Linked DNA regions of Schizosaccharomyces pombe. The protein of the gene in region 1 interacts with the protein of each later gene in a biochemical or structural test. Each region holds a gene or a part of one and is shown in the gene's direction. Other genes may lie near its edges.

Region 1 (4,705 bases):
CTTGAAAAGATTATTTCAGCCGATGGATTAATGAAATAAATAGCAATTTTCCATGCGGTGAAAAAGGAAATCAAATAATATACCCGCTTGTATTCAAGGTTTTTATAAATCAAATCAGTGGAATATTCACCATCATCAGAAAAAGTTTTTTTAAATAATGAATGACATTCACAAGACACAGGATTCACCGCCGTACCCTTTTTATCCATAAAATTAGAATCATATCATTTTGCTCTTCATGATTTAGTTTATGTTGTTAGAAGGGGGTTTCCAGCGTGGTGATTCAATTTTTATTCTAAGCTTTATAAAGTTTTGTTCGGCGGTTTTCAAAGTAATGTTTAAGAGTGATGAACTTATCCGCTTCTTCACTTCTTTGAGACTTTCAATTACCTGTATAATATCTGTAGATTTGTAGAAACAGCTAAGTATCGCTATATGAATATTGATTACTTACATTGCTCAAGTAGTTTCGTTATAATGTAATGTAATAGATAACAAATTTAAAAAAAAACTGCCTATAAGAATCACTGTATAGCTGAATATTAGTTTAAGAAATTAAGCATACTAGTGGCACCTTTCACCACGAATAGCTCCATGACTGCTGCTAGCATCAAACTTCTCCAACCTTCTTATCGATCTTAACCACTATAATTATCTCACCATCATACGCGGAATTTCATTTATTTGATCAATTGCTTTTTCATTTGCAAAAGGCCAACTATCTAGAAGTATTCTTTCTCTTTCCATTTGTTGTTACCATTACTTCTTGCGTACAGAGCAGATAGAAGTATTAGAATTCATTTATTTTTTGTTAACTGTCTTTTTTACCAAAAAAATTATTTTTTAAGATATTCCCTTCATTCCAAACTTTTCTCTCAATTTATACTCAACATATTTCTTAAATTCCATTATGGCTTATCAAACTCGTGAAGGTCTCCCTAATGGCTGGGTCGCTCAGTGGGATGAACGCTACAAGTGTTACTTTTATGTTAATGAAAGTGATCCCAAAGCAAAGCCGCAATGGGAATGTCCGGTCCGTGGTTTAACTATTCCACCACCTCCTTCGGTGGACCACTCTGCTCCCCCAAGTGGACCGCCTCCTTCTTATTCCAACTCAGCCGCTCCTGCCACTCCTGCCGCTTCTGCTTCTTCTGCTGCTCCTGCTCCTGCTCCCGCAGCTTCCCAAAACAGAGCATACGGGGCCGCTCCACAGCCTTATCCCCCTCAGGGCGGTTATCCTCAACAACCATATTATTATCCCAATCAACCAAATTATTACCCAGCCCAGCCTGCCTACGCACAACCCGTATATGCCCAGCCTGCTACTTCTGCAAGAAGAGGTCGTAGCGGAGTCTTGTCTAATCCCATGGTGACTGGTTTGGGCGGACTTCTTGTCGGTGGTTTGGCTATGCATGAAATGGACGAAGCTTTTGATCGTCCTGAAGAAGTTGTTTATGTAGATGATAATAACTACAACAATTTTGATGATTATGGAGGTAATGACTTTGGCAATGATTTCTTTTAAGGGAATTTCATGCATCGATTATGTTATTGAGTTCAACTGCATTATTGACAAGTGTTTCTCGCAAGAAAAATTACATTAGATGAACGATTAATACATATTTTACTGCAGAAATATAAGATCATTCATTTTACACCTGTGTGTACACGGGGATAGTTCATTAGTGTGGTTAACTCGAAAGTCTTCGTCGTAAATGAATATTGACTTATTCAATGCTGTTCCCTAGTAATAGTTATTATTTATATTAACTTTTTTTTACCTTTTCTCCTTCGCAATGCTTTTTATCTATCTGGATTTTTTTTATGACTCTGTAACTTCTGACATACACACGGATTCTGCTTGTTTTTATAAGTGTGATATTTATTTATTTATTTTTCTTTTAAATAAAAAAAAATGTTTTGTTTTCTTTGCGAGCAGGTGGAGAAGTCTTTGACAGTTTTTACAATTTCACATTTATCTTAAAGGGTTAGTCTATAAATATTAGACAACTCAGGATAATCCAACCTACCGTAAATTTATTTATTTAATAATAGCACTTTTTTGACTGATATTCACATTTACAATTTTTTAATTCACGGTTATACAATGTCTTCAGATGATGTTTTGATTATGTAGTTCTTCATATCTGATCACCTAGTATAAATTGCAAGTAATGAGTTATGTCCTACTTTTCTAATTTCATTTTTGATAACAGTATAATTCATAAGTTAGAAACATGAAGCGCTAGCCCTAAGTTCGGTTTGATAATAGTCCTCTGCGTTTCCACTAGTCTATCGCTAGTTGAGCAAGCTTACCCACAGCACAACACAACATAAGCAAATTTGTATAAACGTATTTTGAGATCATTCTCGCATCTCTATTAACAGATATTAGAAAAATTATTTTCCAAAAAACATACCGCTAGGTTGCTTCTTTTAGTGGTTTGCAATGGAGAATTATCAAAAAGTCGAAAAAATTGGGGAAGGTAGGTGTAACTGAGGAAGCTATGACTTATCCAATTTCTTTTCTGTCACGTATACTGACTAATGCTAGGAACCTATGGCGTTGTTTATAAAGCAAGACATAAATTGTCAGGGCGTATTGTGGCCATGAAAAAAATTCGCCTTGAAGATGAATCTGAGGGAGTTCCTAGCACAGCTATTCGTGAAATTTCGCTTCTTAAAGAAGTGAATGATGAGAATAATCGATCAAATTGTGTTCGGTAAGTTTTTACTTGACGGATGCATGGGAAATGTTTACATTGATAAAACTTTGTTTCTAACCCTTTTTTAAGACTTTTGGATATTTTACATGCTGAATCAAAGTTGTATCTTGTTTTTGAGTTTTTAGACATGGATTTGAAAAAATACATGGACCGAATTTCAGAAACTGGGGCCACTAGTTTAGATCCGAGACTTGTTCAAAAGTTTACCTACCAGCTAGTGAACGGTGTAAATTTTTGCCATTCTAGAAGAATCATTCATCGCGATTTAAAACCACAAAATTTGTTGATAGACAAAGAAGGCAATTTGAAGCTAGCAGATTTTGGACTTGCGAGGTCATTTGGTGTCCCTTTGCGGAACTATACGCATGAGGTATATTTTTTTTCTTACTTGGCTGTATGACTTTATTCCCAAAAAATTTGGAATATTGACTGACGGTCTTTCAGCATTAATTTGTGTCGCTAACCGTTTAGATTGTCACTTTATGGTATCGTGCTCCTGAAGTATTGTTGGGATCAAGACATTATTCCACTGGGGTTGATATTTGGAGCGTTGGATGTATTTTTGCTGAAATGATTCGACGAAGTCCATTATTTCCCGGTGACTCTGAGATCGACGAAATTTTTAAAATTTTTCAAGTTTTAGGTACCCCAAACGAAGAAGTATGGCCTGGAGTCACGCTTTTGCAAGATTACAAATCCACATTTCCTCGTTGGAAACGCATGGATTTGCATAAAGTTGTTCCCAATGGTGAAGAGGACGCTATTGAATTACTCTCTGTAAGATTTTGCATTACCATCTATTTAAGACTAATTACTAACCATTTTGTCAAGGCTATGCTTGTTTATGACCCTGCCCATCGCATTAGTGCAAAACGAGCTTTGCAACAAAATTATCTTCGTGATTTTCATTAATTTTCGTCTCTTATTATTAAACCTTTAAAAACGCTATCCTTGACTTTATCTGTACTTTGCTGTGTTTCTTGATATCAGTTATTAACAAATTACCTCAATTTATAAACCGAAAATATTTATTTTCCTCCTTCTTTTTCGAATCTTGGCGTTTGTTCAAAACATACTCAAACAATGGGCAATTTACAGGGCATATAAAAAACACTGACATATTGAGCTTGCCATTAAATGTGAATTTAGTAACGTTTTTAGTTCTGTTCCCTTTACTGTGTCTTTATTGTAAATATCACTTTAAATGCTTTCTTTGACTGTCAAGGGAATTATCGCCGTTCTTTTTACAAAAGCAGGCTCTGAGTGTTTAAATCTATTTTTCTTTCATTCCTGATAAAACTGAAGCCTTTTAATCTCCCTTTTTCTTACTTACTCTTATCCTTTGTTTTCCAGTTTTTTAATCCTCATTTATACTATATTCTATTTACATATTTTTTATACTTAAGTATTAAAAAAGGTGTATATTCTTTAGACTTTAGTTTTTAGTGTTCGTGTTTGCTCTGAACATATAAACTGCACTTACTTAGATGTATTTAGTATCAAAGAGGTGAATTAATTTTACGAGCAAACGGTAAAAGAACGTAAATGTGCTTATTGTTCAACAGACATACGTGTTTATTAAATTTTACAAGATGAAAGTGATATGAATATTTGTATTTCACACTATATTGAACGCTAAGCGAGCATCATTTACAGCTTAAGTCTATACCTAGAGCGTTTGGAAAAATTCAAAATTAATAAATCGTATAAACAAGAAGTAAAACTAAACAGCGCAGGAGAAACCACTAGATGCATGGATACATACTAACGATTGAACCTGGCAAAGTGTAATTGGACAGAATGAAACGAGACATATTGGAAATATAACGTCTAAAGATGAAACGCAGGACAAATTTGTTTGGAGGCTTGAGAGGAATGAAAAGGGAGCAAATACATGGAGGGAAGAGCATTTCCATTAAACTGCGCATGCACATTTTACTTTCCATGCTTTAATCATAGAAAAAGGTAACCAATTAAAT
Region 2 (4,615 bases), 1.3 Mb from region 1:
CTAGAGGAAGTTTTAGAAATTATACTTTTTCTATTTGAAGAATTGAGACCATTATTAGGAATCGAACTTGCTACGGATGGCAAGTTGGATGTTGGTATAGTAGGAGCAGAGGAGGTGGCCGATTTTGGAATTGCGGATTGGCGATGACTTGCAAAAGATGAAGAAGGAGTCCTAAGTGAGTTTGGGTTAGAAGTCGTAGCCATGCTAACCCGAGAACGCACATTCATGGATGAAGACCTTGGGAACATGGGAAGGCCTAGAAGGTACATATGAAGATGCGGCTCTTCTTGCAGGTCGGACCTTTGGATCTTTAGACCTTAATAACCTTTGCTGCTGTTGTTTTTGAAGAGCTATAGCTTCCTCTTTTTGCCTTCGTTCTTGTTCAAGTCGTTCTTGTTCTTGTTGTAATTCGATCTTTCTCTGCTCTTCGGCTTGTATTTGAAGCATTTTTTGATGTTGCAATCTTTCTAATTCTTCATTATCAAAAGACAAACCTTTCCAGTCGCTATTTAGTATTAGATTCTGAGTATGCTCCGTTTGGCTTAGAACCGATGACCATAATTGTATTAGACGATTCGAGTTGTTAATGGAGGTTTCGAATGACTTTATTTTTTCTTTAGAAGCAGAAAGACCATCCGTAAGCTTTTCTATAGTGTAATTAAAGCTCCTTAAAATCTGTAGTTCTTGTTGCAATTCAGATGTCATGTTCAAAGAAAAAGATAGACTATCCTATTAACTGAAGACAAGAAAAAATCACTAAAAAATATATAATTAACTCAAGTATAGAAAATAATTTCTTGTGTGCAATTTAAGCCTAACAAAGTATTCGATTGAAGATGTGCGAATTGTTTAAAGAAATTCAGTACAAAGAGTAGACGAAGGTTGTTTTTATTTTTTTTTACAAAAAATATAATAAATTAAATGAAACAGTTTGAAAAGAAAATTGCAGCGACTCCAGTTGTCCCTTAGAATAAGAACGATAGGAAATATGAGGCAGAGGTTAGTGTTTACACAGGCAGAGAAGAAGAAATGAATTGAATAAAGAGTTAGTTATGTGCATTACATTTTGATAATAGTTTTTGAAGAGGAAACATATTTTTAATTTTTAATTTAACGAACCTATCATTTTAATTGTTTCATTTGGCAAATGCATTGATACTATTTATTGTAAACAATAGGTAATGAAGCGTAAAATAAGTCATAACATGAACATTCATTTATGAATATTTTAATTATTGACCAATATGTTTATAATATTTTTTGATAAATTATGTTAGTAGCGTATTCCTTAAACACATAAATAAACATTGTCACGATTTAATTTTTAACAATTGTGATATATTTTGGAAATACTTAGCGATGTAGCAACCGTGTATTTACTTTGCATATTGCTGTTCCCATTTCGATTTGAAAATGGTGTTTGAAAGATAGTCGATTCTTCATAAATCCATTTTTCCTGCATTTGAGCTAAGGTAATAAATATTGCTTATACCATCAATTTGCTAATAAGGAACAATCTTAACGAAATATCCCTTGAATTAGTTTTGATAGTACTTGCTTTTAAATAACAATAAGAGACTTATTTCATTTACCATACTCGCGAAGTTTCTTCTTTATTAGAACTTCAAATGTAGTTTACTTTTATTTACGGTTTTGCAGTCATATATTTTTATTTTCGAACTGGAATATTTCTATGATGCTTAAAATTGTTAGTAAATTTTTTAGATTTTTGCTAAAGAGAACAGAAAATCGATTCTCATTTAAAATCTAACTACACATTTATGCAAAAATTGTACTTGATCAAAGTAATTAATTTAGCGTACTGCGTTACAGCCATCTAATAGTAATGGTTACCACGAAATGAGCAAATAACCAGTTAACCAGAACGTCAAACATACAGTTCTACTACTACATACATAAGCTTTGGGTTCCTTGACAGCGGTTGTTGCAAACTGAATTTTTTTGTTTTGGATTATATATAATATACAATCAATTGATCTTGTTTAGTCTTGATTCGTGTGTGTTTACTTGAGTGCTGCAGTAATATATTACTAAATTGTACGAATTTGGTCAAAGAGAATCCGCTTTTTTATCAGTTTTTTATTTTTAAAATTTAATTTTGAATTATACTCTTTACAAGGAACGGTAGCATCTTTATAAGAAATCGAGCATTCAATTTCTATGTGAAAAAGTTGAATTCGTCTAAGCAAACAACCAACTAGTTTTTAAATTCTAACATTAGAAAGAATATTTTTCCTTGTTAATTATTCTATTTACAATTTTAAAGTTGGCACATATCTTTTTTTGATTGGTTGATTCTTTGATATTTTAGCTGCACTTACTTCTTGGTATGAAGTGAAATTTTGCTTTTTAAAATAGACATTTTCCCATTCCCGTTTTCTAAAAGATTCCTTTTTTTTGTTTACTCCGAAAATTTCAATACCTTTCTTACAAGCTACAATCCCATTTTGTTCCTTCCTTTTGATATATTGAAGCCATTTCAATTGTTTCTATATTATTTCAAACAATTTTACAAATATTGTTTAAATTGTATAATTATCAAAGCGCAGTCGCTAGCTTGGTGGGTATTAAATTGTTACCTTTTCGTTTGCTACAGGTAACTTGTGAACATTTCTGGTGCTGAATTTTCCTACACCCAAAAACCATTGAAAAATACATTTTTTAAATCATATCGGAAAGCTTGAATACACGCTCTTCTGATAATCCGCTCGATACATAAAGGATTTCTTCTTGCATTTACCTGGTTTTTGGATTGTCAGTTCGCTATGGAACCTTCAACACCACCTATGCGAGGGTTGTGTACTCCATCTACCCCAGAGTCTCCTGGGAGTTTTAAAGGAGTCATCGATGCTTCGTTAGAAGGTAATTCTTCTATTATGATAGATGAAATCCCTGAAAGCGATTTACCAGCACCTCAAGTTAGCACATTTCCACCTACACCTGCTAAAACTCCCAAAAAGCAATTACTACCAAATTTAATGCTACAAGATCGGAGTAATTCTTTAGAAAGATGTATGGAAGAAGACAGAGAACACAATCCTTTTCTCAGTTCATCTGATAACCAGCTTTTGTCAAGAAAGAAGAGAAAGCCTACTCCTCCTCCTTCTGATGGTTTGTACTATGTTTTTCGGGGGAAAAGAATCAAGAAATCCTTCAGGCCTGGAACTGATTTATCTACTTTTAAGCCCAAACTCTTGTTTGCTGACTCGGCGCCTTCTTCTAGTTCAGATAACCCAACATCCTCTGTAGACCTTAATGACTATTCTCAAATTGGCATTCTCCCTCCAAACCTGAATTCTATTGGGAATAAAATGTTCTCGTTAAAATCAAGGGTTCCATCTTCCTCGTCAGGTTCCTTTGTTGCTCCCCCACCGCAAATGCGTTTACCTGCGTATTCATCACCACAAAAATCACGATCTAATACAAAAGATGAAAACAGGCACAATTTATTACGATAACTTTTTTTCGCATTTTGTAATTGTGTTTGATACCGTTTATATAAATGCCCAATCACGAAATACTCTTCTGCCTTATTCATGATAATCGTTCGTTTGAACTTTTGGTAGTAGATCAGAACCTCCTATTCTCTATTCTTGATGAAAATGCATTTTGACAAACGCTGGTCGTTAGTCATTCATGGTAATATCACCACAATATCACCACGATTTTCTTAATTGAGTATCTATAATTACATTTCCCCATCTTTCCATTTGTGCCTATTCATATTCCATTTGGCAACTTAATTTTTTATCGTCCTCCCGTGTCTGCCCTGAGCCATTGCAACTTTTTTTAGCAACCTTTTACGGCATGCTTTGAAATATTATACGTTTAACTTATTTCCTAATTTCATCCACTGAGCTTTTACTTTAAGACTTATACTAATATTACATGGCTTTCACAATTTTCTTTTCTTTGTTCAGAGAGTGAATATATTCTGAAATGTTGTATTTATCGATTAGTTAATAATGCTATTCGATTTCTAAATTTTTTGCTGGTTTGGAAACTATAGTCTGTTATTCTCAATAACTAGTTTTATATTCAATTGTTTTATCCCAGTAATAAAAAGGTATTTTTATACCGCATATACAATACTATTCTAGGCTTCTTAGACAGTTATACACATTACGGTATTGCTGTTACATTGAGTTAATTTGTGGTTTGGTGATATAGTGAAGTTTACTAGCTGGTACTGAAATCCTACAAATGGATAACAAAACTGGTTCTAAGCGTATGAAAGGAGTCTTTGGGTAAAATTATAGTGTAATATCGTTTCGTTCATTGAAGTAATAATTAGGCCTAACCGACTCTACTTGACTAACATTTTTTCTTCACACCATGAAGCATGATGAATAATGTATTTATTTATGTTACCTGAGCGGTAAGATGATTTGTTTACATAATGTCACTTTTATTTACATTTGCACTGCAAAATGACAACAAGGAAGCCACTTACATCACAGTGAAGTTCGTTAAAAATTCGTAACTCTTATATTTACATGGTACCCGTGTTTCTCCCCTCTACCATACTGAGCATATAAAATAACACAAAAGTTAGTGAATCATTTTGTGGCATATCCGAACACTCCTTAGCTTT

The links.
Region 2: of the proteins of cdc2 (region 1) and rum1, one has a biochemical effect on the other in vitro, tested with the Schizosaccharomyces pombe proteins (4 studies listed by BioGRID, with this or other methods).

The regions. Positions count from the first base shown.
Region 1 is NC_003423.3:1,497,891-1,502,595, forward strand, and holds cdc2 (cyclin-dependent protein kinase Cdk1/Cdc2), read left to right. Parts: upstream 1-2,317; 5' UTR 2,318-2,353; exon of another isoform or gene 2,354-2,395; 5' UTR 2,396-2,449; coding exon 2,450-2,486; exon of another isoform or gene 2,487-2,554; coding exon 2,555-2,723; exon of another isoform or gene 2,724-2,795; coding exon 2,796-3,096; intron 3,097-3,197; coding exon 3,198-3,503; intron 3,504-3,557; coding exon 3,558-3,638; 3' UTR 3,639-4,205; downstream 4,206-4,705. Other genes in the region: protein wwm1, read left to right, coding at 911-1,525.
Region 2 is NC_003423.3:2,797,803-2,802,417, forward strand, and holds rum1 (CDK inhibitor Rum1), read left to right. Parts: upstream 1-1,874; 5' UTR 1,875-2,786; coding exon 2,787-3,479; 3' UTR 3,480-4,115; downstream 4,116-4,615. UniProt on the Schizosaccharomyces pombe protein: Regulator of cell cycle G1 phase progression. Ensures the correct sequence of S phase and mitosis in the cell by acting as an inhibitor of the cdc2 mitotic kinase. Probably interacts with cdc2 to inhibit its action until the cell mass for Start is reached.